Linked DNA regions of Macaca fascicularis. The protein of the gene in region 3 interacts with the protein of the main gene of each other region in a biochemical or structural test. Links are inferred from orthologs where the notes say so. Each region holds a gene or a part of one and is shown on either strand. Other genes may lie near its edges.

Region 1 (4,228 bases), on a different chromosome or scaffold from region 3:
TCTGGGCCAGCAGAATCTGAGAAGTCCAGAGTTCACAGGGGAGGGGTTGGGGGAGGAAGCACACAGGGAGGGCCAGGGGCTGCATTCAAGAGGTGTGGCTGGCAGAGAGGGGATGGAGGGTGGGACAGCCTGGGGGCCAATCAGGGCAGACCCAGGGCAGACCTCAGCTGTCACTGCCGGGGCTGCAGCGTGGACAGTGGGTTGAGGGGATGACAGCGAGTGTAGAGGGAAGGTCTGGAGAGGTCTGTGCCGGTGGGATGCTTCGATGAGCTCTCACAGCTGCGCGGGGCGAGGCTCTTGCCTTCCCAGGTGGGGCCAACAACCCCGGGACAAAGACAGCCGCTCACTCGGTGCTATCAGGGTGGGCCTTCGTAAAGGGCCAGCTCCCCAGGAGATGCATTCTGGGACCGCCCTGCCCCCGGGACTTGCTGCTGGAGCCGGCAGCTCCTTGCCCTCAAGGACGTCTTTCCAGAACCAGTCCAAGTGTCTGGGAGACCCGAAGGCTTTTCCTGGTGAATAACAAACTCTGAGGCCAGGCAAAGCCCCGGTCAGTGTGCCCTCCCTGCGGGCTCCCAGGCGGGGCTGGCTGGTGCCTGGTGGCTGTCTTCGGACCTTCAGATGCCAGATTCTGACTCTGTACACGGGGCTGAACTGGGAGAGGCCCCAGCTTGTACAGAAATTACATATTCAGGACCAGGCGTGGTGGCTCACGCCTGTCATCCCAGCACTTTGGGAGGCCGAGGCGGGTGGATCACCTGAGGTCTGGAGTTCAAGACCAGCCTGACCAACATGGAGAAACCCTGTCTCTACTAAAAATACAAATTAGCCGGGCTTGGTGGCACATGCCTGTAATCCCAGAGAGGCTGTGGCAGGAGGTGGAGGCTGCAGTGAGCCGAGATCGCGTCATTGCACTCCAGCCTGGGCAACAAGAATGAAACCCCGTCTCAAAAAAGAAAAGAAATAAAAGAAATTACCTATTCAGTTTACACCAGCGGGACACGCCCGTCAGAGGAAAGCAGGGTGAGCTTTAGGACTGGGCGACCGCAGAGCCCAGGTTGAGGCTGGACCTCCCTGATGCCCCAGGGGACCTTCTCAAGGAAATCACCTGTAGGAGGCAGCCAGCCTCAGAGACTCCCCCACGGCCAGCATCGCAAGCCCCCAGTGGAAAGCACAGCGAGGCCAGCGTGAGCCCGGAGAGCAGGCAGCCCAGGCCGGGAGCTGAAAGACACCGGGGTGAGAAGGGAGGAGGCTGCAGAGAAGCGAGGAGGCTGCAGAGAAGGGAGGAGGCTGCAGAGAAGGGAGGAGGCTGCAGAGAAGGGAGGAGGCTGCAGAGAAGGGAGGAGGCTGCAGAGAAGGGAGGAGGCTGCAGAGAAGCGAGGAGGCTGCAGAGAAGGGAGGGCGCGGGAGGGCTCAGAAGAGCACTTACGAGACAGAAAGCAAACACTCAAGGGGCCTGGAGGGGAGGGGAGACCCTGGCATAAATAGGGCAGGCGGCAGGCGTCACTGAAGGAAAAGGCACCTTCTCCAATCAAGCCTGCTGGGCGTACCAGGTTCCACCAAGGCCAAGGTTCTCTCAGCTGTTCTCCCCGAAGCCTGTCCTTCCCCTGTCCTGCGTGGGCGCCCCTCCTCGGCCCCAGCATCCAAACCGCCGCCCCCTGCCCACCCCGCCCCAGTCCAAAGCCGCTCTGGAAACCTGCGGCGGCGCCTGCTGCTCTGATCTTGCTTCTCCTGGCCCCACTCGTGTCCCCTAATCCCCCCTCTACACAAGTGACCACCTCTCCGCCACCCCTGGAGAGACCCTCCCCTGTGGGCCAACACATGAAACTTTGATCCCCACGAGCTCCTCAGGAAGCTGACCTTCCTGTCACCTTGCCAGGAGCTACCTGCCGTGCCCACATTACTGGTTCATTGGCGCAAGTTAAGGAGAAGAGAAATCTGACCGACCGGGATTTTCCAAAAAAAAAAAAAAAAAGGAGGCCCGCCAATGGGAACGCTGCGCCGGTAGGGAGGATTCTGCTGGGTTTCATGCGGGTGGCACCGCTTTTCCTTTCTGCCCTTGTAACGCACGAAAAAGCGCCATCACTCCAAGGACGTTTCTCTAAAAAGATTGAGTACCCCCAAGGAAACCCGGCCCCAGGGACTCCTCGGGCGCGAGCAGCCTACAGTCTGCGGGGCTCGGAGCGGAGGCCGGACGGAGACCCCACAGGGACCCGGGAGCCGCGAGCCAGGGGCTCCGAGGCTGTGCCCCCGCCGGGTAGGGGAGACCCTCGGGACCCGCAGGGGCGGCTTAGCGCGGCCAGAGTCGCTCCCGAGTCTCGCTCTGCTGGACCGGAGAGCCAGACTCTCCCGAGCCGCGGCCGCCCGGCTCCGACCTGATGGGCGCGGCCACAACGAAGCCCCCAGACCCGGCAGAGGCGGCCGCAGACCCCGCGGGCAGACCCGGAGACCCCGGGGCCACCTACCGATCTTGGCCACGCTGGCCACGAGGATCCAGAGCGCGATGACGTAGGGATCCTGCACGTGGGCCCACTTGAAGGTGACCACCTGGAAGCCCCCGCTCTCGCCGTGCGCGTCGCCGGGCTCCACCTCCACGCCCCCGGCCCGCGCCAGCCCTCCCAGCGCCAGCGCCAGCAGCAGTCCCCGGCCGGGGCCCCGGGACCCGAGTCCCCACATCGCCGCCTGCTTAGTGCGGGGCTGGGACGCGCATGTCGCGGGGGGTCCCGGCTGGGCTCGGCCGTCGCGCGGGGCTGGGACCCGGCGAAGACCCGGCGCGCTCCGGTGCCGGTGCCTGCGACAGTCCGATCCCCGCCCGCCGGGGTGGCCTTTAATCCCGCGGCCCCCTCCCGCCCCGGGGCGGAGCCTGCCCGCCCCCGCCGCGCACTCGCGAGCGCGGACACCGCAGCAGCTCCCGGCACGCCCGCCCCGCCCGCGCACGCCCACCCGGCGCTCCCCAGTCCCCACCCTTCCCCGGAGCCTGCGGCCTGGAGGTCCGGGAGGTCGCGGCAAGAGCGAGCCCGGGACTGCGCGACCGCCTCCCTGGGGCTGGGGGCGAGGGGAGCACAGCGCGGGGCGGCGGGACAGGCGGTTCCCCGCGCTTCTCGGCGTCCGCTCAGCTCGTGGGGTGCCCGGGCAGCTGCGGGTGCGCTCGCCCCAATCCTTCATAAACGCGGGCCCTGGGGCTGCGCAGACCTCACAGGGCGGCCCGAGGGTGCACGGGGCCCCCGGGCCTCACGTCTCGCTGTGTCTTCAGCAGGAACCTGCATTCCGCAGCCGGACCGGCCACTTACCAGAAACCGGGGACGCCCAGACCTGGCGTGGTGCGCTGGGAAGTCTCTCTGCCCCTCCCCTCGCCGGCCGCATCCCCCACCCCAGGCTCTGTGGCCTCCACGCCCCGGCCCCTGCCTTCTGACCTCCACCCAAAACACTTCGATACCCCCAGGGCTTCACACTGATGCGGGGCCTCTGCCCACAGCCCACTCTGGCAGCACTGGCTCCCTTAAGCATCTCAGACTCCACTATGCAAACCACACCCCTGTTTTCCTCCAAGCCCACCCTGCAGCCTTCCAGCCCCAGACCTGGGAGGCACGCGGACTTCTTTCGCTCACCAGGGGTTTCCAAGCTCTTAGCATATGTGCTCTACCTTCAAAATTCGCACAAAACCAGCAGCTTCTCAGAGCCTGCCTGCAGCCACTTGCAAAGCCTCCTGCTGGGCCCTTTGCCTGCCCCTTCAGTCCCTCCTATTGGGACCCTCCCTCTCAGAGGAAAGGCTCAACTTCCCCCAGGAGCTCTGACCCCAGCCACTGCCTAACACCCACCCCCATGCACGCCACAGCCCACACTAGCAATCGGCCTTTGCACACCCTGCTCCCTCTGCTTGGACAGCTCTTGCCTGCTCCCTTCCTCGGCTCCCCAGGGGCTTGGCTCCAATGCCACCTTCTTGTCCCACCCCCCACCCACTCAGCTCACAACTGTGGCTGCTGAGTTCCCGCATCCCCTGCTTACTCAGCCGGGGCTCAGCTCACCTCTCAGCCCTGGGGGCTGCTGGCTTTGACCTTGAGCTGTCTGCCCTCACCCTGGGAATGTCTGCTCCACGAGCAAGGGGCTCACGCATGCATCCCCTGAGCTTAGAAGAGAGCTGGGCACACAATAGCACTCGCAAGATAGTGGCTGAGTGGATGGATGATAGGTGGACGGAGGGCAGGTGGGCGGTAGGTGGGTGCGGATGGAG
Region 2 (3,500 bases), on a different chromosome or scaffold from region 3:
CCAGGTGAGCTCTACACCTAGGGTTCAAAAATAGGACTCCACAGGAAACAGAGAACCTTTCAAGGTTTTTGGAGTAAGACTAGATGAGTAAAAGAACACTGAAGGAAATATCCCACACCAGAGGATACTAAGGCAGCAACATAGGTGATACAGTTTGGCTCTGTGTCCCCACCGAAATCTCAGCTTGAACTGCAATCCCCATAATCCTCACGTGTCAAGGGTGGGACCAGGTGGAGGTAACTGGATCATGGGGGCAGTTCCTCCATGCTGTTCTAGTGACAGTGAGTTCCCATGAGATCTGATGGTTTTATAAGCTCTGGCATTTCCCCTGCTTGCACTTCTCCTTCCTGCCACCCTGTGAAGAAAGTGCCTGCTTCCCCTTCCACCATGACTGTAAGTTTCCTGAGGTCTCACCACCTATGCTGAACTGTGAGTCAATTAAAACTCTTTCCTTTACAAATTGCCCAGTCTCAGGAAGTTCTTTATAGCAATATAAAAACAGACTAATACAACAGGCAACGTAATAATGGTTAAGAAATCATGGTTCTGAACAGATTCCCATCTCTAAGACAGGCAAACTCCTTAACCTATTATAGGAGCCAGTTTCATTCTCTGTAAAGTGGGGACACTAATGCTTATCTCCTTCAATTGTGAGGATAACATGAAATAACATGTAAAGGCTTCCAAGAGCCCTGGTTCACAGTACACACACCAGCGCCTGCAATCACAGTGAGGGGCAGCAACAGCAGTCAGAGAATTACAGCAGCACAATACACATGTGGCCCTTCCATCTGTAAAAGGTGTCCTGCACACTCAGAAAGACACTCTGGTCAAAGTATATTTCTAAGTTATTTCTTTCAAGATGCAAAAGCTGTAAGAAAAAAGTGTTACTGACCTGCATGGACCATCCCTTCACAGTGTTACCTGAAGCTGTTGTCAGAAAGAATGAGGATAAGAATTGACCTTGTATGGTCTGTTTTAGAGGTAATATTTTTTACGAAATACAAACTTGCTAATCAGTAGTGGGAGTCTGCCTATGAATAGCCACTATGCTCCAGCCTAGGTAACACAGCAAGATCTCTTCTTTAAAAAACAAAGTTCATCATAAAAAAGAATCTTAGCTTTTATGATAATACCCACCCCACTCTCTCCCCAACCAAAAAAATAAAAATAAAAAATAATCACAGCCAGTGTCAGCTAAGTTCACTCGAGTCTGTCCCTGGGCATCCATCTCTATTAAGAACCAGGAATAAAACAAAGCAGATTTTTGAAAAGCTTAGACAGTCAAGGTCTTGCCAGGCCCTCTCACAAAGCCAATTTATTTTAATTTTCAACTTATTCATAAACACACAAATACTTGTGCATACATTGTGTGCCAGGACCTTACCTTGGTGATATAAATTATTTGCCCCTGGCAATTTAGTGACAGCTACTGAGGAAAAGGTGATGGTGTGTAAAGTGGATGCTATGATTTGAATGGGCATGCCTACTCTAAATTCATAGGCTGGAACTTCACCCCAGGGTCAGTGTTAAGAGGTGGGGCCTCTAAGAGGTGATTAGGTCGCCACGGCAGAGCCCTCCTGATGGGGATTAGTGTCCTTACAGAAGGCTGGAGGGAACTAAACCAGTTTGTCCTTCTGTTTCTTCCACAATGTGAGGACACAGAGGTCCATCTGGGAAGCAGAGAATGGTCCTCACCAGACCAGACACCAATGCCAGAGCCTTAATCTTGGACTTCCCAGCCTCCGGAACTGTGAGAAATAAATGTCTAACATGTATAAATTAGCAAGTCTCAGGTATTTTGTTACAATAGTACAAACGGAGCAAGGCAGTAAGTAGAAATCAACCGATTGGAAAGAAAGAAGTCTGGTAGAGTTAGGTTCATCAACAGTAAGAAAAAAGTGAAAAGAGGATAGGAAAGAAACGGCAGAGATCCTAAAGGCATGCACAAAAATTAACAAGGAAAACATCTACAGAGGAAAGAACTTATTTTCAAACAGGGATAGCTAAGTGAAGTTGAGGCCATTCTTCCTGACCAAGAAGCAGGGACCTCAGCAAGCTCTTTGCTTCCAGCCCACAGAAGAACCATACTCAACCCATACTCGCTACTTTCTCACTTGCGTTAACGTAACAGATGAAATCTATTTGCTTTTCCTCCTTTTAGACAGCTTAAACATTTTAATCACACCTGCCGTTACCACCTGCACATCAAAAGCCCTGTGCCACTGCTGTTTAGGTTGCTGCCAATAAATGATCACAATGCTTGCATTGTCTTTAGTGCGCTCTATCTAAGATAAGGAAGTACACACAACATTGTGGAATGGCAGCACGTTTTGGTTATGAAAGAGTTAAATGTCATTACACTGGAACATAGTGATGCTAAATAAAAGGAGATATCATTTCACCTCGAATGCACCTACAACTTTAAAATGGCATCTGACACCAACCTGGATTCTTCGGATGCTGATGATTGCCTCTGACACCTTCTCAATGGCTGCGGGGAAGAAGAGGGTGACCGTCAGCCGCACAGCCCCATACAGTGTCACGGCCACGAATACGCGGCTGGCTGTGATCACGTTGCCGAGGAGCACGTAGGTGGTGAAAGTCACAAACACGATGATTTTGCTTGCACTGAAAAATGAGGCCAAATTCATCCCTCTGAGGTAGGAACTTCTCAGAATCTTGGAAATCTCCTTCCTGGAAGAGAGTACAGGTTTTTAAAAAAGCAGTGATGTCAGTCACACAAAGTGGCTCACGCCTGCAATCCCAGCATGTTGGGAGCTGAGGTGGATGAATTGTTTGAACCCAAGAGTTTGAGACCATCCTGGGCAATGACAACAACAAAAAGGTGCAAAGGTGAGAGGTGGCCAGGAACTACCCAGAAAATCATAAGAAGTACCAGGTGCTGGAATGCAACAACTAATCAAATATTTAATCCAAAGCCAGAAAAACATTTTTTTTTTTTTTTTGAGATGGAGTTTCACTCTTGTCGCCCAGGCAATGGTGCGATCTCAGCTCACTGCAACCTCCTCCTCCTGGTTCAAGTGATTCTCCTGCCTCAGCCTCCCAAGTAGTGGGATTACAGGCAAGCGCCACCACGCCTAGCAAATTTTTTGTATTTTTACTAGAGACAGGGTTTCACCATGTTGGCCAGGCTGGTCTCGAACTCCTGACCTCAGGTGATCCACCTGCCTCAGCCTCCCAAGGTTCTTGGATTACAGGCGTGAGCCACCATGCCCAGCTGCCCCCAAAAAATTCTAATAACACAAAGAACAACTAACAGTATTTCCATGCCTGTTTGGAATGAAAAATACTGATTGATAGAGTTTGGTCCAATATAGATATGCCCAGTCTCTATAACCTGTCCATTTGGCTACATTAATATAAATCATAGTTTTATTTTAAACACCATTATTCTCAAATACTAACATCTTAGAATCGTTGTTGGGATTTGGGATATTCAGAAACATTTGGAATTTCACTTCTGTATTAGTAAGAAG
Region 3 (4,219 bases):
GGTCCAGGCTGTGAGGGCTTCAGGGTCCTCCCAGAGCCTTGCCCTTAGCCCAGGGTCTTCTCCAGGCAGGGCTGGGAAGGGGCTGCAGGGTAGGGCAGCTGGGTAAGTCCCGTCTGGAAGTAACAAAGACGGCGCACAGTGGAGCTTCAGCTTTTCAGTCTGCCTGTTAGTGTGTGCACGTGCATCCATCTGTTTCAAAGTCTGTGTCTGCGTCCAGGTTTGAAGGAGAGGGGTGTCTCCCTGGGCCCCAGTTTGGGTGTGTCTGTGCCCATTCCTGTCATTCTCTGCCATGGGAGTCTAAACCCCTGACCCCAGGCCTTATGTCCACCTCCAGGCCATGACCATGGGCCCATTCCCACTGGACCTGTGAGGAGGGGAATGGCTGGACTCCTGGCTCGGGTACGCACACACAGCCAGGGAAGCAACATTCAGGTACAGCCGGCAAGGGGGAGGGGCAGTGAACAGCTATGGCATGGTGGCTGTCGGCGTGTGGGTACAGGTGCCTGTGAAGTGTCTGGACCATGCAGGGGGCCGGCGTGCACCCGCAGAGAGAAAGCAGTGTCCATTGGGAAGCGGGCGGGAAGACGGGCAGCCCTACTCCCACCTGCGGCCTGGGGGAGGGTGGACAGGGCTCCCCACCAGCCACCGGGCTCAGCAGGGGTGGTGAATAGATAGGAGGGACTGAGCCAGGCCCATCTGTCCCCTGGCCCTCCTCTCTCCCCATGACCCAGAGTGAGACAAGAGGAACCGAGTGCCCAGCTGCTTCTTGACTATGTGTCCCAAACAAGTCACCCTAAATCTCTGGCATCAGTTTCCTCAACTGTCAAATGGGGCAGTAACTGCACCTCTTGCCCTCCTGGGGCAGTGGGGAGAGTCCACCATGGTCTGTGTGTCCAGTCCTCAGAGACCAGCACCCCAGGGCCTTGGATAAGCAGGTGTTCCCTGGGCAAGGGCGGCAACGACTATCAAACAGCAGCCAGGCCCCAGCCCTGCCAGCCCTACCCTCAATCCCTCAGGTCCAGGCCACTGGCCTGATCCCCACCTTCTTTTTTTTTTTTTTTTTTTTTTTTTTGAGGCGGAGTCTCGCTCTGTCGCCCAGGTTGGAGTGCAGTGGCGCGATCTCGGCTCACTGCAAGCTCCGCCTCCCAGGTTCCCGTTCCCGCCATTCTCCTGCCTCAGCCTCCCGAGTAGCTGGGACTACAGGTGCCGCCACCACGCCCGGCTAATTTTTTTGTATTTTTAGTGGAGACGGGGTTTCATTGTGTTAGCCAGGATGGTCTCGATCTCCTGACCTCGTGATCCGCCCGTCTCGGCCTCCCAAAGTGCTGGGATCACAGGCTTGAGCCACCGCGCCCGGCCCTGATCCCCACCTTCTTCAGCAAACAACCTTACACAGCAGACACTGGGTGGAAAGCATGAGGCTGGCCGACGGAGGGACAGACAAGGCACCAGGTGAACAGGAGACCAACTGCAGGCCCAGCTGAACCAACTGCTAATCTTGGGGTTCCAGGACCAGCCATGCAGACAGGTTATGGATTCGCCAGTGCTGTGAGGGACAGGGGACCTGGAGGACAAGGGGTGTGTGGACACTGGACCCCCACCAGGGTGTGGTGGAAGTCCCTGGCCTGTGGGAGACAGACATACCTCAGGGGTCAGAACCCACAGAGAAAAGGCTCTGTTCTCCTTAGCCAGGAGGCAGGAGGCTTTAGCAAGTAACCCCAGCCGGGCTAAGCAGCCTCTGAGGAGGGGTAGTGCCTTTGGAGCTAAGGAATGTGGTTGCCACCAATGGCCAACTCAACCCGGTCCCAGGCATACCGGCTGGGACACACTAGAGTACAGACACAGACTTACCAGCCTGCAGACACACAGTGATGAGTACACTAACCAGGTGTGCACACACACAGAGCTCAGCTCTCACATGCCCAGGAGTCCAGACCTGTACACACACACACACACACACACACACACGCACGCAGACCTGTATACTCACACACACTCCAGCACACACACAACTGCAGACACACTGATGCCCTTACTGCAACCCCTCCTGGGTACACACAGGCAGGCGCGTGCACACTTGGCTGACCCCAGAGGGACCTGCACACACACGCCCAGCTGTGTTCACACGCACACGTGTACACACAACTACGCAAAAGCACCCAGGTCTCCACCTTTCTGGAGGGGCCCCAGGCTGCCCAACACCCTCCTTCATAGCACACTGAGGCCAAAACGCGACCAAAGAGCGAGGCCAACGGCCAGGAGCCGCAGTGCGGGCCCCTCCCTGCCAGGATGCCCCCCCACCCCTGTGCAGGGCTGAGCTTCCTGCGCGGGGACTCGGAAGGCGCCGGGCTGCTGCCTCCCAGCAATGTCCGCGTCCTCTCCGCGGAAGCCCCCTCAGGCCCCCGTGCGACCCCCGCCCGCCCCAGAGGGACGCGCTCAGGGAGGGGGCGGCGGGCCGGGGGCGAGCGCGGGCCCCCACCTGGTGGTGCGTCTCGCCCTCCACGTTGACGCCGTTGACCTCGACCAGGCGGTCCCCAGCGCGCAGCGCCGCGGCCTCGGCGGGGGAACCGGGTTCCACGCGCCGGATGAACTGCCCGCGGCGGCCCTTCTCGCCGTGCAGGTGGAAGCCGTAGCCCTGCTCTCCGCGCACCAGGCGGCACAGGCGCGGCCGCAGCGGCTCCGGAGCGGCCATGGCGCCCGCTGCCCACCAGCCGCCCGCGGGCAGGGGCGCGGGGCAGCTCGGGGGCGGCGGCGGCGCTGGGCACCCGGCGGTGGCTTCGGCGGCTCCCGTTCGGCTCCCGTCGCCTCGGGCTCCGGCTCGGGCTCCAGCTCGGGCTGCGGCACCGCCCCCGCGCCCGCCCCTTCCCCGCCCCCGCCCCCGCCGCCCGGCCGCCCCCACCTCCGGTCCCAGCCATCCCGGCCTCCGTGGCCGGTCATCCCGATTGGGGGTGGGGGAAGGCGGCAGGACTAGGGGACCCCCCAGCCACCAGGACCCCTCTGTCTCACTCCTGCTCTGGGCAGCCGCCTTGGTGACAGCGCCTTTGCCTTCTATCCCAGGAACATTTATTGGATACCTACTGTATGTGCAGCATCCAGGCAGGTCTTGAGGTGGGCGACGGGTTGGACAAAAGGGACCCCCCCAAAGGGGCCAAAGGGTAACAACAAGGGCCACAGCCCCCCCCCACCCTCCCGGGGAAGCCCTCCCAGACCCCCGTGCCTATCTCCTCTCCGCTGTGCCTGATCTGGATCCCTCCTGCAGCCAGAACTGCCCTGGCCCAGGGGTCTCAGGAGGGCCCAGGAGGCAAAAAGAGGTTTAAACGTGACACGCAGCTGTCCCTCCCTGCATCCTGGGGGCCAGTGGCTTGAGACTCCCTGGCCTACCCTCCGTGTTTGGGCTATCTGCACAGCGTCCATTCCCGCCATTCTTTCCCTTGGCCGGGCCGGCACCCCTACTTGTGTCCCAGCCCACCCCAGGCCTGGACTGTGACTCTGCAGGGTAACGAAAGGATGAGTCTCGACATGGGCCTCCACTGACTTCTTTGGGCTCTAAGCTCTGGGTGGTGGCCAGTGTGCACAGGCGTTGCTCCACAGTGTCCGCAGGCAGGCAGCAGGCCTCCTCTCCCCTGCCCACAGCCGTCTACGTCCCTGAGCCTCTACGTGAAGCACGAGTGTCCCTCCTTCCCCAACAGGACAGTCGCCACCACAGTGAAATCGTTTATGCTTGAGCGCATTTTACTTGGAACAACCCTAGGGGCTTGGCCACTTCACAGACCTGCAAACAGGCCTGGAGAGGGACCCACAAAGCTTCCTCAGCTCCCTTTGGGCCCAGGGATGTGAGATTCGGAGTCCATGCTCTTCACCACCCAGCTCTTCCTCTGTCTCCAATATAGGAAGACAGCTGAGTCCAGGCACAGCCCCAGTCTGCCCTCCTCCCCAGCCCAGCCAGGCCCCCCGCACATACCTGGTTCCCAGGGGTCAGGCACAGCCAGCCCAGGCAATTCCCCATGTGAGCAGTAGAAGCAGGCTTGGCGCAGTCCTCCTCTCCCTATCCTCTCTCTGGGGCCTTGGCCTGGGCTCCCCTGCCCCCACCCAAGCACAGGGCCCGCCTCTGGGCAGTCTCCTGGGCCATGGCCCCCTGGGTGCCCATATCCCGGCAGCTGCCCCTAAAAGCCACTTAGGCTGAGGCGCCATGGCTGCTTGCCACCCCCACCCCTGCAAT
Region 4 (4,276 bases), on a different chromosome or scaffold from region 3:
GGATGTAGAGTGTGTCTGTGTCGGAAGAACCCGATCCAGCAGCTGCGCTCGCTGACCTCACACAGCCACAGCCGCGGGTGTAGGCGGCAGAGCTCAGCACAAGACCCACAGGTTCTGGTTACTATGACATGGACATCCTGCCCAGCAGAGAAATTCCAGAGTGAGGAGGCATTACCCTCACTCCTGGCAGAGGCAGACCTGCCTTAGAAGAAGGAGAATCCAGTAAAGGCGTGTTAAGAATGAAATCAGCGGCTGCTAGTTAGTGCTTTTGTTTCTACTGTGGGCGCCATTGTCCAAGCAGACCTTCAGAGAGCGACGGGGCACTCTTGGTGATGCTGCCAGAACAGCAGGTGCTACCTGGGACGCATGGACACCTTATCTCCTTGGAGCAATCGGGGACCTTTGGGGGCAAGTATTGTGGTTAGAAAAAGTCTAACCACAATAAGAGGAGCAGCTGTTAGATGAATAGGGAGCATGCTGGAGGGGAGCAGGAGGGAGAGGGAGAACACAGCCCTGGTTGGCGGGAAGTGACTCGAGCTGCTGGGCAGCCTGTGCACAGTGGGCCACACAGCAGGAAATCATGAATTCCTTCCCTGGTGCAGATCAGGCTGGTGTGGATCTGGCTCCAGCCAGGGCCAGTTTTCTCAGGGCTTGATCCCCCCGGGGGCTCAGAACAACCTGGTCACACCCAGAGGGCTCAGGAGGAACAACCTCCCCAGCAGCAGTGGCTGCACTCAGAGCCTTTGGAATCAGACAAAACCTAGTCCACAGCTTAGTAACCGTGGCCTGAAGCAAGCTACTGAATCACTCTGCTTCTGTGACCTGTAAAATGAGGCGACTAAACCAGACTTCATAGATCTGTTTGAGGATTAAATGATACAATGCACGAAAAACACTCAGCACAAAGATGGCACATAACAGGGACTCCATGCCCGAACTTTTATTACTGTTTGCTCCCCTGTTCTCATGCCCACAAGGCTCTGCCACCTCATCCTGCTCACTGGGCACCTTCCTCACCAGGGCCTTCCTGACCCTTCCTCACCAGCCCCAGACACGCCAAATTCAGAACTGCACCTTGGCCTCTCTCTCTCACTCTCTATTGCACTTTTTTTTTTTTTTTTTTTTTTTTTTTTGCCTGTGTACTCCCCACCAGACCGGGAACTCCTTTTGGACAGAGAATGCATCAAGGGTCCTCAATCTAATTGCCTGTTGGACTCACCTGGGGCCAGATTCTGGGACTAGGCATCAGCACGTTGTCCAGCTCCCAGCTGATGGCAGCGTGTGTCCAGGGCAGAGAGGTTGTGCCACTCAGGTGTGCACTGAGGACCAGCCGCATCAACATCACTGCAGCTCCTTAGCAAAACCGCGGACTCTGGAAACTCCAGACCTAGAGAATCAGAACCTGCATTTTAGCCAGATCCCCAGGAATGGAAAGCACAGGAATGCCAGCGAAGTGTCCCCAGAGCTCGACATAATTCAAACACCCAGTGGGTGTTGAGCGGGGGTTCACTGATTGACTAATTGACTGAATGAGTGAAGCCCTGTGTCAGTTTCCACTGGGACTTCACACCTACTCCCTCATGTGCTATGAAACAAACAGGCTCCAAAAGTAAACCCGTAAAACATTCAGGAATTCAAAAATAGACACAGACCTAAGTTGATAGAACAAATAGCTGCAAAATGGTGAGGTTTTTGAATGAAATACCTGAAGGAATTTTAAAGATTTATTACCACCAGGCTCTGCGCCATTAAACCTCTTCTACTACACTTGAAGATAATTTTGTTTTGTTTTAAGATTAGTAATTGTGAAAACCTGGGAAACCAGGACTGGCCCCTGGGAGGATCCTGTCCACCTGTGTGGTTTGGGCACAGCCTCCAGGTGGCTGGGGCCGCTGGAAGGAAGACAGACTCGCTGGTGGGGAGTCCCCGGCACTGCCAAAGGCCTCCCCACGCCCGTTCCCTGGGGACAGGACCTCTGTCTCCCCTCCGCAGGCTCTTCCTGGCTCTCACCCTCCCAGCCTGCATCCCCCAGCCCCACCTCCTCCGCCGCCGCGGAGTTGCAGCTGACTAGGGGGCCGAACCCAGGCGGCGAGCATCGCCTTATCCAGCCCCAGTGGGGGCTTCGTCCCCCGCGGAGTGTGTCACACTCCGAGGCCAGGCTAGAGGTTGCGGCGCTCAGGACTCCCGGTTCCCGCCGCCCTCAGGCTCCCCAGTCCCAGCCTCCCTCCCCATCTCTCCCAGGCTCCCTTCCCCAGTCTCAGCCCCCATCTCCGGTCCCAACCTCCTCTGCTTCTCTCCCAGGATCCGGCCAGGAGATCGACGGGTGGCGGGAGGGGCGCTCTGGCGACCCTGGAAGCGAGAAGCAGGCCTCTGCAGGGCCAGGGATGAAGGTGCAAGGGAAACTCCTGGGACCTGGACCTTAGTCGTGGGAGGGACGAAAAGGAAAGTTCTTAGACAATTCTTCAGGCTTGGCTTCTGGGGGGCGGGGCGGGGGGAGGAAAGGGGCACGGGTTCCCAGTCCCACCGGCGCTGCAGCCGAGCGGGGCCTCCAGGCATGCGCTCATCGAGGGCAGCTGAGGCGGAAGCCGGAGGGCCTGCAGCGCTAGCTGTGCGACTCCGGGCGAGGTTTTTAAACTCTCTCCTGTTTTCCGCTTTTGTAAACTGAAGATAACGTCTCTCTCCTGGGAGTGGGAGCACGATGCAGACACTCCGTAGGAATTCGGGACTTCTTGATTCTCCTTCCTTATCCTTGAGTTGTTTGAAGCACTCCGGCCCCTCAGCCCCACGCCTTTTCCCAGCCCTGCCCCCTGGTGGAAAATCGTAGGAACTACCTCTCAGGAGGGCTCCCGTAAGCCAGGCACTGTACACACACTTTTCATTTCATCTTCGCAGCAGCTCTTCTTGGTGAGTACTGTTATCCCCATTTTGCAAATAAAGCAACGGAGGCTTAGAGAAGTAACTTTTCCAAATGTGCCTCAGCTCCAGGCAAAATAGGAACCTAGGTCATCTGATGCCAGAGTCAGCCTTCCTCACTGTTTATGATCCGGCTTCCCTTTCTGTACCGAATTTTCTATTTCTGCCATAACAGATGACCACAGGCATAATGGCTGGAAACAGCACCCATTTATTAGCTCACAGTTCTGTAGGTCAGAAGTCCAGGCTCGATGCGACTGTGTTCTCTGCTCTGTTCTCACAAGGCCAAAACCAGGGTGTCAGCGAGGCCTGCATTCTCATGTGGAACTCAGGGCCCCCTTCAAGCTCCTGTGGTTCTGGCAGAATTCAGGTCTTTGTGGTTGTAGGACTGAAGTCCTCATTTTTTCGCTAGCTCTCAGCTGGGGGCTGCTCTCAGCTCCCAGAGGTCACCCACATTCCTTGCTCTGTGGCCCCCTCCATCTTTAAAACCAGCAAAAGAAAAAAAACCTCCTTCTGTCTAATTCCTCTAATAATTTGAATCTCCTACTTCAGGAAAAGCCCAATCCCTTCAAAGGGCTTATGACTGGGTCAAGCTCATCCCCGACGAACTTTCTTTCTTCAAGTCAGCTCTGCCATATGACATGCCCCAGTCATGGGAGTGAGGATTTCCTGGGGTTCCTCAGGGGGTGTATACAAGGGGGCAGGAATCACCAGGGTGTCTTGGAATTCTGCCTACTTATAAGTGCCTTCCCTGTCACCAGCATGTATTCTGGTGTTACATTCAAGTGTAACACCTTGAACGCTTCCTGCTAACCCTAAAGGGCCTTGAGGGGAGAGGGGCAGCCTATTCACCAACCAGTTTGGAGCATTTTCCTATGAGTGCAGTCATATATATTCCCATAGAAGAGTATACAAATATCTCCATATGAGACATAAGCACACCCTCCTCCATTCCTCTTCCTCCAACCTCATCCCATGTTTCAAAGCTCAGGGAATGTACATTTTGATCCAGCATATCTGAGAGAGAAAGTAGGAAATTGATAGAGATGTTTGTGATCACAGATAGGGAGACTGAGTCTGAAAAATCACTCCCAGCCCAGTGATCTCTCCAGGAAGCCCTGCTGACCCCCAAGCAAGGCTCTTCTCAAGTTGCTGTGGCCCCGACTCCTGACATTCCAGACCACGCCGTGATCTCTCCAGGAAAACCACCAAGTTTTCCTCCCTATGGGTGTGTGATGTTTGACCTTCTTAATCCAGAGGTCCATCTAAATGGATGTCAGATTCACTAATGCATCATCTGAAATACAACTTCCTTTGATTTTGCCTCTTTTGAGTCTTTCTCCACTTGTGTTTTCCTATCAAA
Region 5 (3,928 bases), on a different chromosome or scaffold from region 3:
TAGTCACACACACACACACACATATCGGGAACACCCTCTGTCTTTCCCATATGCGGTGTGGAAAACGGGGCCAGACGATCCTGCAGAAACTTCCTGATGAAAACAGCCCCGTCAGCCCTTCCCCTAAGCTTGAGGCCGGCTGCCACGGAACCTCATCCAGGGCTCCAGAGCTTCCTTCGCGGCTTCAGGGACGCACTGCCCTGCAGGCATCGCCTGCTTACAAACGACTTCAGGGGCTCACGAAGTACCCTGTCCCCGGGACGCGGCTAGATCCTGGGGAAAACCCCTCCACCCAGCCCCATCTGGCAGAGAGACTCCAGATTAGCAGCTCCGGAGTCACGTGAGCCAAATTCACGCCATACCCCGGTTCCAAGGTTAACCACCCCTCGCCCCCTCCGCTTCGCGGCCGCGCTGATGTGCCTCCTCCTCAGGCGGTCCTGGAGTCTGCGTCTCCCAAGCAGCTTTCAGGGGTAAAAAGGAGGGGAGCGGGGGAGGGGAGACGAACTTCTTTGTTCTTTCGCCAGATAAACTCAGTTTACGGAATTCTCCAAAACTCACTCCCATCCGCAATATGCAAATATCTCTGATCCTCACGTGGAGCGCGAGCTACTTCATTCATTGAGACTTTCGTGTTCCTGGCCCTAGGCTAAGTATTATCTTGTAGGATCACATTTAAGTCTCCCAGTAACCCCCTGAGGTAGGTGTTATTATCCCTATTCTAAAGATGAAAAGAAATGAGGTACTGAGAATAACTTGCCTAGGGTTTTACAATTAACAGATTGGCACAGTTAGGTTTTGAGTCCAAGTCTGTTTTGACCCAAAAGTTCTAAATCTTTGTAACTGTTCTTTATATAGCAGGAATAAAAGTAACAACCACTCCTTGCAGAGCAATTACTATATTCCAGGCACGGTATTTCTCCAAACTACTTTCAGAGGCAGGTTTGTCACTTACCTGTTATGTGACCTCAGGAAGTTTCTTAACCTCTTTTTGACTCAATTTCCCTGTCTGCAAAATGAGGCTAAAAATATGGTTGTCATGAAGAGCAAACGAATTAATATACGTAAAGCCTGGCACACATTCATCCCTGAAATTGTTGCTGTTGTTTTTTTAACCATCATCTCCATTTCACAGGTAAGGAACCTAGCCTTGGAGAGGTGAAGCAGTGAATTAGTCCAGCTTGCCCGGTGCACACCCAGCTGCAAGGACCCGCTCAGAAGTCGTGCGGGATGGGGGCCCGCCGGCAGGTGAATTGCACTTGGCAGGTAGGAGATGAGCTTCTCCGGGGTCGCTGCAGAACGCGCCGCAGCCCGGGAGGCCGCGAATGGTTATCAGCTACCACGCAAGGCTGGAGGTCCGCCCGCTCCGGATTTGCTCGTAGTGCGAGGGCCCCTGCTGTGTGCTGGGGGTTCCCGCCAAGCCCACTCAGAAGCACTCGGGGGGACACCTGTGGGCGGGGCCCAGCTGCCCCGCAGAAGCCCCCGGCCCCGGCCCGCGCGCACACACTCAAAGCCCCCCAAGGCGCGGAGGCTGCCCGCCCTCCCGCCCGCCGCGCTCCAGGGCGGAGTTTCCTCCTCTGCTCATTGTTCACGGCCCAGCGCCCGCCCAGCCCCGGCCCCGCCCTGCCCGGCCGCCGCCGCCGTGGGCGGGCACATGGGGGAGGGGGAGGGGGAGGGGGAGGGGCGGGGGCGGGGGAGGGGGAGGGGCGGGGGCGGGGGCGGGGGCCGGCGCGGACGGGACGGGCCAGGAGTAGCCGCAGCCGCCAGTGGGGCCGCAGCCGCGCAGACGCCGCCCAGGACGCAGCCGCCGCCGCCGCTCCTCCGCTGCTGGCTCTGCGCCCCAGCCCCGCTCTGCGGCAGCAGCAGGGAGGAAGAGCCGGCGCAGCGCGACCCGGGAGCCCCGGGCCACAGCCCGGTCGCCGGAGCCACCCACAGGCCTCCCCGAGCGGCGCCCACTCTCCTACCGTCCGGACGCGCGGACCCTCTGCCGGCCCCGCAGCCACCTGCTCCCGGCCCAGAGGCGAGGACACGATGCGCTGCGCGCTGGCGCTCTCGGCGCTGCTGCTGCTGCTGGTGTCGCCGCTGCTGGCCTCCCAGGATGGTGAGTGGCCGGCCCGGGCTCCGCCGGATGCCCCACCGTGCGCGTGTGCCCCCTACCCGGCCAGGTTGCAGGGAAGCCCGACGCGCCGCGTGGTCTGACCCGGAGCAGCCCTGTCGCCGCCGGGGTCACACACGAAGCCCTGACCTTGCACCATCCACGCCCCCTCCAAACTCCACTACGCGGCAGGTGCAGGGCCCGAGCGTGGATTCGTCTCCAGTCTCCACTCGGGAGGAGTGGGCAGTGGATTCTGCCCGGGCAGACAGGGGCGCGCCGGTGCTAAGTGGGTTTGCTTGGGAAAGAAAAGGGAGACAGCACCGCGAGGCTCGACGCTTCTGCGGGACCCTTGGGATCTGATTACACCTTTCCTTCGTGTTGGAGGGAATGTGGGGCTATATTGTGTATTCGTTAATTCCAGGCAAAGAGGCAGGCGAGAAGCTCCCGAGGAAGTCCCTGAAGCAGGTGACAAGCCTCCAGCCACTGTCCACGCGGGCAATGTGCTTACCCGTTTGCAGAGAGGGTTTTCCAAGCAATGTGTGCAGGCTCAACCCCCCGAGCCCGTGCTGGGGCAGGTACAGAGACTGTGGAAGTGGACCTTCCATAGTCCCAGAGTCACCTGGCTGAGTGGGGGTCCTACCTCCGTGTCCCCAAACCAGTCACTTCTTAGTGCGTGGCTACGATGGTGAGACCCCCTCGAATCCTGTTGTTGAAACGGGAACTTCTCTCTCGTAGAATAGGATTGAGCTGCATTTTAGACACACCTTAGAAACCGTACCTGTCTCTCAAGGAACAGAGCTGTACCTCAGAACATTCCCTCCTTGTTTCTTTTCAAGGTGAAATGTTACTCATTCTCTTTGGGGGAACAGGCGATGGCTGCAAACTCAACCAGAGCAGGTGTTCCTAAGCCCCTAGGAACATCCGGAGTCGGATCAGGACCATGGGAGAAGCGTATTTCTCATTCTCTCTTGCCCACCTGAGCACGTGTCTGCAGGGAGAAAGAGGGGAGGTGGTGTGATCACCCTAGGGCAGGAGGACTGCGGGGACAGCACAGACAGGGAAGGGACTCTGCCGCGAGCAGGTGCTGGCAGTTTGGGAGTGGACTCCAAGGGGCGGGGGGAGATGGGAGGGCAGTACAGTCTCTCCTCTACACCGCAGGAAACCTTTGGTAGTGGGCAGGGGCTGGCACTCAGGGAGCAGGCAGGTGTGGGCATCCTCCTGTGGCCGGCGGGAGACTCCACCAGCCTGACTAGAAAGGGAATGTCCTGGCGGGGCAGAATGTGTGTCCCCGGAAGAGGGGCTGCAGTGTGAGGAACAGTCAAAACAGCTTTCAAGGTGGCAATCACTGAAGAGCCACATGACATGCAGGGTTGAGATGACACCAGAGTGTGGTGGCACTCCTCAGCCCTACTCTCTGGGGACAGCTGGACTTCAGGGTGGGCCTTCATATGAACCTTTTGTTGGGAAGCCTCTTAGAACCACCCAGAAGGGCGTTGGGCTGTGTCAGGAAAGAGGGGTTAGTCCCTAGTGCTTCTGAGCTTAAGGTGGCTGAGCCACCCTCACTTTGAGGAGTGGGAGGCGCTGTGGGACAAGACCCTCCCTGTTCTGCCCTAAAAGGAAATGTTCCTAAGCCACCAGTGGGCAAAGCTCTGACTCTAGCTCACTGCTGGCTTCAAGGATGGATGGGACTGTCTTTCCTGGCACCTGGGCACTGCCAGAAACCGTGTCTCTTCCATGAAGCACCACTTCTAGCCTAGCACGGGGCATGGCACATGGCAGAAGCTTGGTATGTGGCAAACAAAAATGACCATAACCCAGTGCCTGCTATAACCAGCA
Region 6 (3,500 bases), on a different chromosome or scaffold from region 3:
TGAGGCAAATGACACAGTTTCTTTGACAAATAAATGACAGAAAAAACAAAGGGGGAACCTGTGTATTAAAACAGTGGTGGCCAGGCGCGGTGGCTCACGCCTGTAATCCCAGCACTTTGGGAGGCCGAGGCGGGCGGATCACAAGGTCAGGAGATCGAGACCACGGTGAAACCCCGTCTCTACTAAAAATACAAAAAAAAATTAGCCGGGCGCGGTTGTGGGCGCCTGTAGTCCCAGCTACTCGGGAGGCTGAGGCAGGAGAATGGCGTGAACCTGGGAGGCGGAGCTTGCAGTGAGCCGAGATCACGCCACTGCACTCCAGCCTGGGCGACAGAGCGAGACTCCGTCTCAAAAAAAAAAAAAATAAAAAAAAATAAAATAAAATAAAACAGTGGTCCTCAGAGTGCTGGCATGAATCAAAAGTCACTGGGAGGGCTTGTCAAAACACAGATTGCTGGCTTCATCCCATAGTTTCTCATTCATTAGCCCTGGGTCAGGGCCCATGAATTTGCATTTCTAAAACGTTGCTAGGTGCTCTTCCTCCTGATGATCCAGAAACCGCAGAACCATGTTATTAAAGAAGTCTTGGATTATGAATCAAATACAATGTATGGATCTTGTTTGGATTCTGTTTTGAACAAGCCAATTGTAAAAATAATAATAATTCCCTTGATAATAGGGAAGTGTAGGCATGGGATGGACTTTTGATAATTTTAAGGAATTGGTAAATTTTGATAGTGTAATCATGGTATTGTAATTATATTTTTCTTTTTTAAAGAAGGCCCCATCTTTTTAGAAATATATGTTGAAATTATGGGTAAAATGCTATATTGTTCACTTGAACATAATTGGCGCTGAAAAGTAGTTGAGGATAGAGGTAAAAAAAGATTGGCCAGATTTTGACAATTGGGAAGAACGCGAGTGATGAGTATACAAGGATTCATTATCTGTATTAATTTTTCTACTTTTCTGTGTTTATGGAAATTACCTTCAAAATGTAAAATATATGTTTGGAAACACAAAAATATATTCCTAAATAGCTCATAACTTAAATGTAAGTCACCATAGAAATTACACGTTTTTGGAATAGAACAGTCATGAATTATACTATTTCAAAACATGTGGGATGCAGGTAAAGCAGGACTTAAGGGTAAATTAATTGACTTAAGTCTTCCAAAAAAAGATTGAAATGAATTAAGTTCAACTTAAAAGTTAGAAAATGAAATACAGAAAAGCTGGAGGGAAAAAAATAAGAGCAGAAAAAAGGGAACTAAGTGAATAATGCAGTCATCTTAACTAGCTGAGAAGATTGGATTGAACCAAGGCATTATTCTGAGAGAGACTGGTCTGTAATTTTCCTCTCTGTAATATCCTTGGTTCTGTCTCAGTACTATGCTAGCCTGATAGAAGAATTGGGCAGTCCTGAGCCAGGTATGGTGCTTGCCTGCAGTCTCAGCTACTTGAGAGACAGACAGTAGGATTGTTTGAAGCCAGGTGTTTGAGACCAGCCCGGGCAACATAGTAAGACAGAAAAGGAAAAAAAAAAAAAAGTGTGGTAATCTAAAGAGAAATTAATAGTAGGACTTCTCTATTGTCTTAAATAGTTTCTGGCTCAGTATTTTTTCAGCACGCACTTCGTACCAGATGCTGTGCTAGGTATTGAGGACACATAGATGACTAGGATATGGCCCATACTCTGGCACTCAGTCTGAGGGAGCATATAAATTTGTAAACAAAAAATTAGAATCAGGCAGGAAACGTCAGTAGACAATATGGAAACGTTCCCAGGCAATTCCTTGAGAGAAGAAAATTTTTAATGTATAGGATGGACTCAGCTTTGTGAGGTTTTTCCTCAAGTAGTCTCCAAGAAGAAATGGCATTTACCAAGCAGGCAGTCTGTTATAATGGGACACATTAAAAATCACGAGGAGTTTGCTGTGTGACTGGGAGACCATTAAGTTATAAGAGCTGTCAGTGTATGTTATTTAGGATTTTTGTAGCAAGGTTTATATGAGAGATTGGCCTGTAATTTTCCTTTCTTTTAATATCCTTGTATGGTATCAAGGTTATGCTGGCCTTATAAGTGTTGGAAAATATTCCATCCTTGTTATGCTCTGGAAGAGATTGTGTAAGATTGGTGTTATTTCTTCCTTGAATGACTACAAAGCCATTGGGACCTGGGGTTTTCTTTAGTCAATGTGTACTAAACATTTAGTAGAAAGAGTGACCCAAAATTTCAACTTAAGTCGAATATGTATCTGAAAAGGTTTATTATTTTTACTAACATTTTCACATAAAACTTCCCTCTGCCCACTGGGGTTAATCCACAGTTTGATCAGTGTTGTATCAGTGACAGAAATTCACCAGTATGAAAACCCAGTCCATTTCTGACCACCAAATAGTGTATTACAGCTTCAAAAAAAAAATTTTTTTTTTTGCTATCTAGGCTTTGTGCTGTGTGTGCCATGGTGTCAAATGAGACAAATCTGTGTCATCCAAATACTTGTGAACTCAACTTGATATGAGCAAGCATCATATCATTTTAATCTACTTGCTTTATTGGGATGTGTATGTGGATATATTAAGGGCTGATTATTTTCATGGGCTTTGCTGCTTGGAATGCTTTGTCTTAGTTTTTGTGGATGAATTTTTAATTACATTTTTATATTTCATAAGAAGTAATGAATTTACATCATTCACACTTCAGAAGTTATAAATAAGGTTCTCCAGCTTTGTCCTTTAGTCAGCTAGTTTCTCATCTCTGGAACCAAAAGATGTTAGTTGCTTCTTAGCTATTCATCAATTTTTATATTCTCTGAATATGCAATATATATTCACTCCCACTCCCTCCCCTCTTTTTTTAACACTTTACCTTGCTTTTAATTTAGTAAGTCCTTAGAAACTATTCCTTATCATCATTGCCTGTTAAAACTACCTCTTGTTTCTTTTCTCTTATGACTTCCTTGTATCTTGTGACAACAGTAATAATAAATTAATGTAGTCATTGTAATATTGATGGATTTTTAGGTTATTTCCAGTCTTCTTGCCCAGAAAAGCTACATTGAATATCCCAAATTGCTTTTGAATAATTAAATTATCATTTTCTCTTCCTTCGCTAGTTTTTTAGGACAGATTTTTTTTTTCTTTTCATTTCAGCCATGAACCAGAGAATCAGTCAGAGTGCTCCAGTGAAACAACCACCACCCCTGGCTCCCCAGAGCCCACAGGGAGGCGTCATGGGTGGCAGCAGCTCCAACCAGCAGCAACAGATGCGACTGCAGCAGCTCCAGATGGAGAAGGAGAGACTGCGGCTGAAACAACAAGAACTGCTTCGGCAGGTGAGGCCACAGGTTAGAAACCAGCCTTCCACTTTTTGGGGTTTGTTTTCTTAAAGTTGGGCAGATTGCATTTTAACATTTATTAGTTACAGAGGAATGTTGTCTTTGTAAAACTGAGCGACACAGAAGCATTCTATCCAGCCCTGTCCTTGTCTTAGTTTC
Region 7 (3,500 bases), on a different chromosome or scaffold from region 3:
CTGGCTAATTTTTTAATTTTTTGCAGAGATGGGGTCTCACCATGTTGCCCTTGCTGGTCTCAAACTCCTGGGCTCAAGTGATCCTCCCACCTCGGTTTCCTAAAGTGCTGGGATTACAGGCATTAGCCACCACATGTAGTCCAATTCCATTGTTTGGCTCAACTCTGAATCAGTGCTTCTGAAACTCACTGACTATCTCTGACATACACAATATTTTTCTTGGTCACAGTTTTTACGCTTGTTATCCTCTCCTGCAGAAAGGATTTATATGTACTGTTGACACCATAAAAGATTCCGACGAAGAGCTGGACAACAATCAGATACAAGTACTGGACAAGCCAATCGATACCACAGACCTGCCCTTCCAGATTGACTGGAATGATCAGCTTCCTCTCAACATTGAGGTCCCCAAAATCAGCCTCCACAGCCTCATTCTCGACTTTTCAGCAGTGTCCTTTCTTGATGTTTCTTCAATGAGGGGCCTTAAATCGGTAATTTCTTTGTTCTTAATGGAAACAACCAATCAATGACTGAAGGTGAAAAAAAAATTGTATTTGTGGGCTGGGCATAGTGGCTCATGCCTGTAATCCCAGCACTTTGGGAGGCTGAGGTGGGTGGATCACCTGAGGTCAGGAGTTTGAGATCAGCTTGGCCAACATGGTGAAGCCCCGTCTCTACTAGAAATACAGCTGGGCGTGGTGGCATGCACCTGTAATCCCAGCTACTTGGGAGGCTGAGGCAGGAGAATGGCTTGAACCTGGGAGGTGGAAATTGCAGTAAGCCAAAATTGCACCACTGCACTCCAGCAACAGAGGGAGACTCTGTCTCAAAAAATAATAATAATAATTGTATTTGTGGAAGGATGCTCCTTTAGGTAACATGCATTTAATTAGAAGCAAATTATAATCTTAGAGTATTCCATGGAGGGAAAGGTGGTGTTCAGTGGACTCTTGAGAAGGGCATTTTCCATGAGACTGGGTACTATATTGAAGGGAATCAAATCTATAATAATAATGTATGATGAATCTGCTGGTGGACAACTGTGCTCACATTCCTTTCAAATTTCAATTCTGTGGTGTTTTCAAATCTTTGTGGGCATAGTATCTAAATTATTCTGAAATCAGAGAAGATCTGGAAAGGTCCTGGGAAAAAATGTAAGAGTGGATCCTTTTGTTTTATCCTCATTCACCATAAGCTGATTTTCACATGGCTAAAACCCAAATAGATATATGAAAGAATAAATGTCACATGTGATTTCAAAACACGACTGACAATCAGATTGCAGCCTGTTTTCTTTCCACAGATTTATCACATTTCTAAAATAAATTAGTTTCTAACAGAAATGCAGAAACATATAAAAAGAAAATTTAAGAATTTCTACATCTTTCTCTTTTTCTTGGGTTTTCACAAAAATCTACCCAAGTGAAAGCTGACCTAAGATAAGACCTATTAAGCATGAACTGGATACATGTGAACTGGATACAAAATTAGAAAATGAAAGAATTTTTTTTTAATGTTAACATCATGTAACTCTTAAGTCTACTTGCGTTTTCTTTTCTTTTTTTGGTTTCAGTTTTTGCTTATTTTAGCTTTTGATTACTTTAGCTTACTGTTTCTGCATTTTCACACACACACCCACCCACCCACATACACACACACACACGTATTTATTTTTTGGTTCTAGCAGTATAACACAAAGGACAAGGGCTCTAATTCTTAGTTAAGTGCCTAGAAGAGGTTCTGAAAGTGTTTACTAATGACGGCAATGATATTAATGATATTAATGATCATCTAACCTGATCAACAATATAAGCTACTTTTCTTACCTTCCATGATCTTACTCATATCACTACTGGTATTTGTTCTTAGCCTAGAGACCAGAAAAATGTATAAAGATTCATTGGTGCTAGATATATCCATTCATTGTGGACAAGAATAATTAGCAACTCATGGTCCGTAGGTTCTTTTTTTAAACTTTTATGCAGCAAGAAAGCTCTAGTTGAGATCATCCCAAAGAATACACTATTTTAAAATTAAATCAGAGTTGTTCTTATGAGTTTGAGACAGAACATTTTCCCATAATACTCCCTTCAAGAATGATCATTTTTAACTTCTTACTGAGGAGAAGGGCTCCTTTATTTGGGTTTATTTCTGTCATAGAGCCTTGGTTTTAACTTTAGTATCTTTTGACACTATTATCTCTTTTCAAAATGTTAAAGCTTCTGAAAGCAATACATCACCCGTAAGGTATAATTCTGATTGTTTTCTTTATATTTCTGACAAGTGAAACTGTTCCCTAAGGAAGATATACTTTCTTTTTAACAGATTTTGCAAGAATTTATCAGGATCAAGGTAGATGTGTATATTGTTGGAGTTGATGGTAAGTGGCTTTATTTTTGCTTTATGTTCTGACAATCACTTCAGGCTCAATGCCAACTCTCAATCTAGACAGCCTCTCCAAAGAATGAGTATTTTATATAAACAAGATGAAAATCTAATTTGCAGCCAACCCAATAAAAATCCCTATGGAAACAGCATCTTTGCATTTTAGTTGTGTTGATATGTAATTAAATAAATTCTACAATTTGAATCCTGATTTCATAGGCAACAAAGGAGGAATATATTAACTATTTTTTACTCTAAATTTCCTGAAAAAGTAGCCTTGTTTTCTGTCTCTCTTCCTCCCTTCCCTTGCACTCTCCAGCCCATAATAATTTGGTTTAGCTTCACCTGCTGATGAGACCATCCTTGCCAAGGTTATCAGCAATGTCCAGATTGTCAGGATTAACTGCCTTCGTCTCAGGTCCCTCTGCAGCAGCGTACTTAAGCATCAGGCGCTCTCTCTAGCATTTGTCTTTGAAACTCTCTCCCTTCCTGACTCTGGCAAGACATTTCTGATTCACCTCCTACCTCTCAAACATCTCCTCAGGGTCAGACATTGGTTCAACTCCCACTCTTTCAGTCTTCCCCAAGCTTCAAACTTACACTCGATACCATGGTTCTAATTCCACAGACTCTTTCTAGTCAATTTCCTACATGTTTATTATTTCATGTATATCTACTTGTTAATGAATCCCCAAACTATACCTCCAGCCCAGACCTTTCTTCTGAGCTGCAGACCAATGGACTCGACTGTCCGGATATCCCCCAGGCACCTCAAATACATATTTTTAATAAACTACGTATATGATTCCCCCTCCCAAAAATACTTCTTTCCTATCACAATCACTGCATCACTGCTTACCTAGTTTTCCAGATAGAAACCCTGAAACCATCACCAATTTCTCCTCTCCTTCCCTCTAGTCAGTGAGTCACCAGGTCCTATAAATATTTCCTCTTAAATCAGTCTCTTCCTATCCATTTCCAGAACTTTAATCTAGACCCTTCTCATTTCTCAACTAGGCCTTCTAGAAGGACTTTCTAACTAATATCCTTGTCCATCCCTATAATGCTCTCCCATCCTATTTTCTGAAGAAAGCTTCTTCAGGCAGTTTTCCGAC

The links.
Region 1: the proteins of NHERF2 (region 3) and SLC9A3 form a complex in vitro, tested with the Homo sapiens proteins (2 studies listed by BioGRID and IntAct, with this or other methods). The link is inferred for Macaca fascicularis from reciprocal best matches to the Homo sapiens genes NHERF2 and SLC9A3.
Region 2: the proteins of NHERF2 (region 3) and ABCC4 form a complex in vitro, tested with the Homo sapiens proteins (2 studies listed by BioGRID and IntAct, with this or other methods). The link is inferred for Macaca fascicularis from reciprocal best matches to the Homo sapiens genes NHERF2 and ABCC4.
Region 4: the proteins of NHERF2 (region 3) and KCNJ1 form a complex in vitro, tested with the Homo sapiens proteins (2 studies listed by BioGRID and IntAct, with this or other methods). The link is inferred for Macaca fascicularis from reciprocal best matches to the Homo sapiens genes NHERF2 and KCNJ1.
Region 5: the proteins of NHERF2 (region 3) and PODXL form a complex in vitro, tested with the Homo sapiens proteins (3 studies listed by BioGRID and IntAct, with this or other methods). The link is inferred for Macaca fascicularis from reciprocal best matches to the Homo sapiens genes NHERF2 and PODXL.
Region 6: the proteins of NHERF2 (region 3) and YAP1 form a complex in vitro, tested with the Homo sapiens proteins (2 studies listed by IntAct, with this or other methods). The link is inferred for Macaca fascicularis from reciprocal best matches to the Homo sapiens genes NHERF2 and YAP1.
Region 7: the proteins of NHERF2 (region 3) and SLC26A3 form a complex in vitro, tested with the Homo sapiens proteins (2 studies listed by BioGRID and IntAct, with this or other methods). The link is inferred for Macaca fascicularis from reciprocal best matches to the Homo sapiens genes NHERF2 and SLC26A3.

The regions. Positions count from the first base shown.
Region 1 is NC_088380.1:827,707-831,934, forward strand, and holds the start of SLC9A3 (sodium/hydrogen exchanger 3), read right to left. Parts: upstream 2,801-4,228; 5' UTR 2,674-2,800; coding exon 2,463-2,673; intron 304-2,462; exon of another isoform or gene 163-303; intron 17-162; exon of another isoform or gene 1-16. UniProt on the Homo sapiens protein: Plasma membrane Na(+)/H(+) antiporter. Exchanges intracellular H(+) ions for extracellular Na(+) in 1:1 stoichiometry, playing a key role in salt and fluid absorption and pH homeostasis.
Region 2 is NC_088391.1:86,141,775-86,145,274, forward strand, and holds part of ABCC4 (ATP-binding cassette sub-family C member 4), read right to left. Parts: intron 2,698-3,500; coding exon 2,448-2,697; intron 1-2,447. UniProt on the Homo sapiens protein: ATP-dependent transporter of the ATP-binding cassette (ABC) family that actively extrudes physiological compounds and xenobiotics from cells.
Region 3 is NC_088394.1:2,793,428-2,797,646, reverse strand, and holds the start of NHERF2 (Na(+)/H(+) exchange regulatory cofactor NHE-RF2), read right to left. Parts: upstream 2,801-4,219; 5' UTR 2,693-2,800; coding exon 2,480-2,692; intron 1-2,479.
Region 4 is NC_088388.1:127,421,323-127,425,598, forward strand, and holds the start of KCNJ1 (ATP-sensitive inward rectifier potassium channel 1), read right to left. Parts: upstream 2,801-4,276; 5' UTR 2,282-2,800; intron 1,388-2,281; 5' UTR 1,343-1,387; coding exon 1,220-1,342; intron 1-1,219. UniProt on the Homo sapiens protein: Inward rectifier potassium channels are characterized by a greater tendency to allow potassium to flow into the cell rather than out of it.
Region 5 is NC_088377.1:173,085,944-173,089,871, reverse strand, and holds the start of PODXL (podocalyxin), read left to right. Parts: upstream 1-1,128; 5' UTR 1,129-1,227; coding exon of another isoform or gene 1,228-1,270; coding exon 1,271-2,098; intron 2,099-3,928. UniProt on the Homo sapiens protein: Involved in the regulation of both adhesion and cell morphology and cancer progression. Functions as an anti-adhesive molecule that maintains an open filtration pathway between neighboring foot processes in the podocyte by charge repulsion.
Region 6 is NC_088388.1:101,212,132-101,215,631, forward strand, and holds part of YAP1 (transcriptional coactivator YAP1), read left to right. Parts: intron 1-3,156; coding exon 3,157-3,350; intron 3,351-3,500. UniProt on the Homo sapiens protein: Transcriptional regulator with dual roles as a coactivator and corepressor. Critical downstream regulatory target in the Hippo signaling pathway, crucial for organ size control and tumor suppression by restricting proliferation and promoting apoptosis.
Region 7 is NC_088377.1:149,306,514-149,310,013, reverse strand, and holds part of SLC26A3 (chloride anion exchanger), read left to right. Parts: intron 1-257; coding exon 258-491; intron 492-2,325; coding exon 2,326-2,380; intron 2,381-3,500. UniProt on the Homo sapiens protein: Mediates chloride-bicarbonate exchange with a chloride bicarbonate stoichiometry of 2:1 in the intestinal epithelia. Plays a role in the chloride and bicarbonate homeostasis during sperm epididymal maturation and capacitation.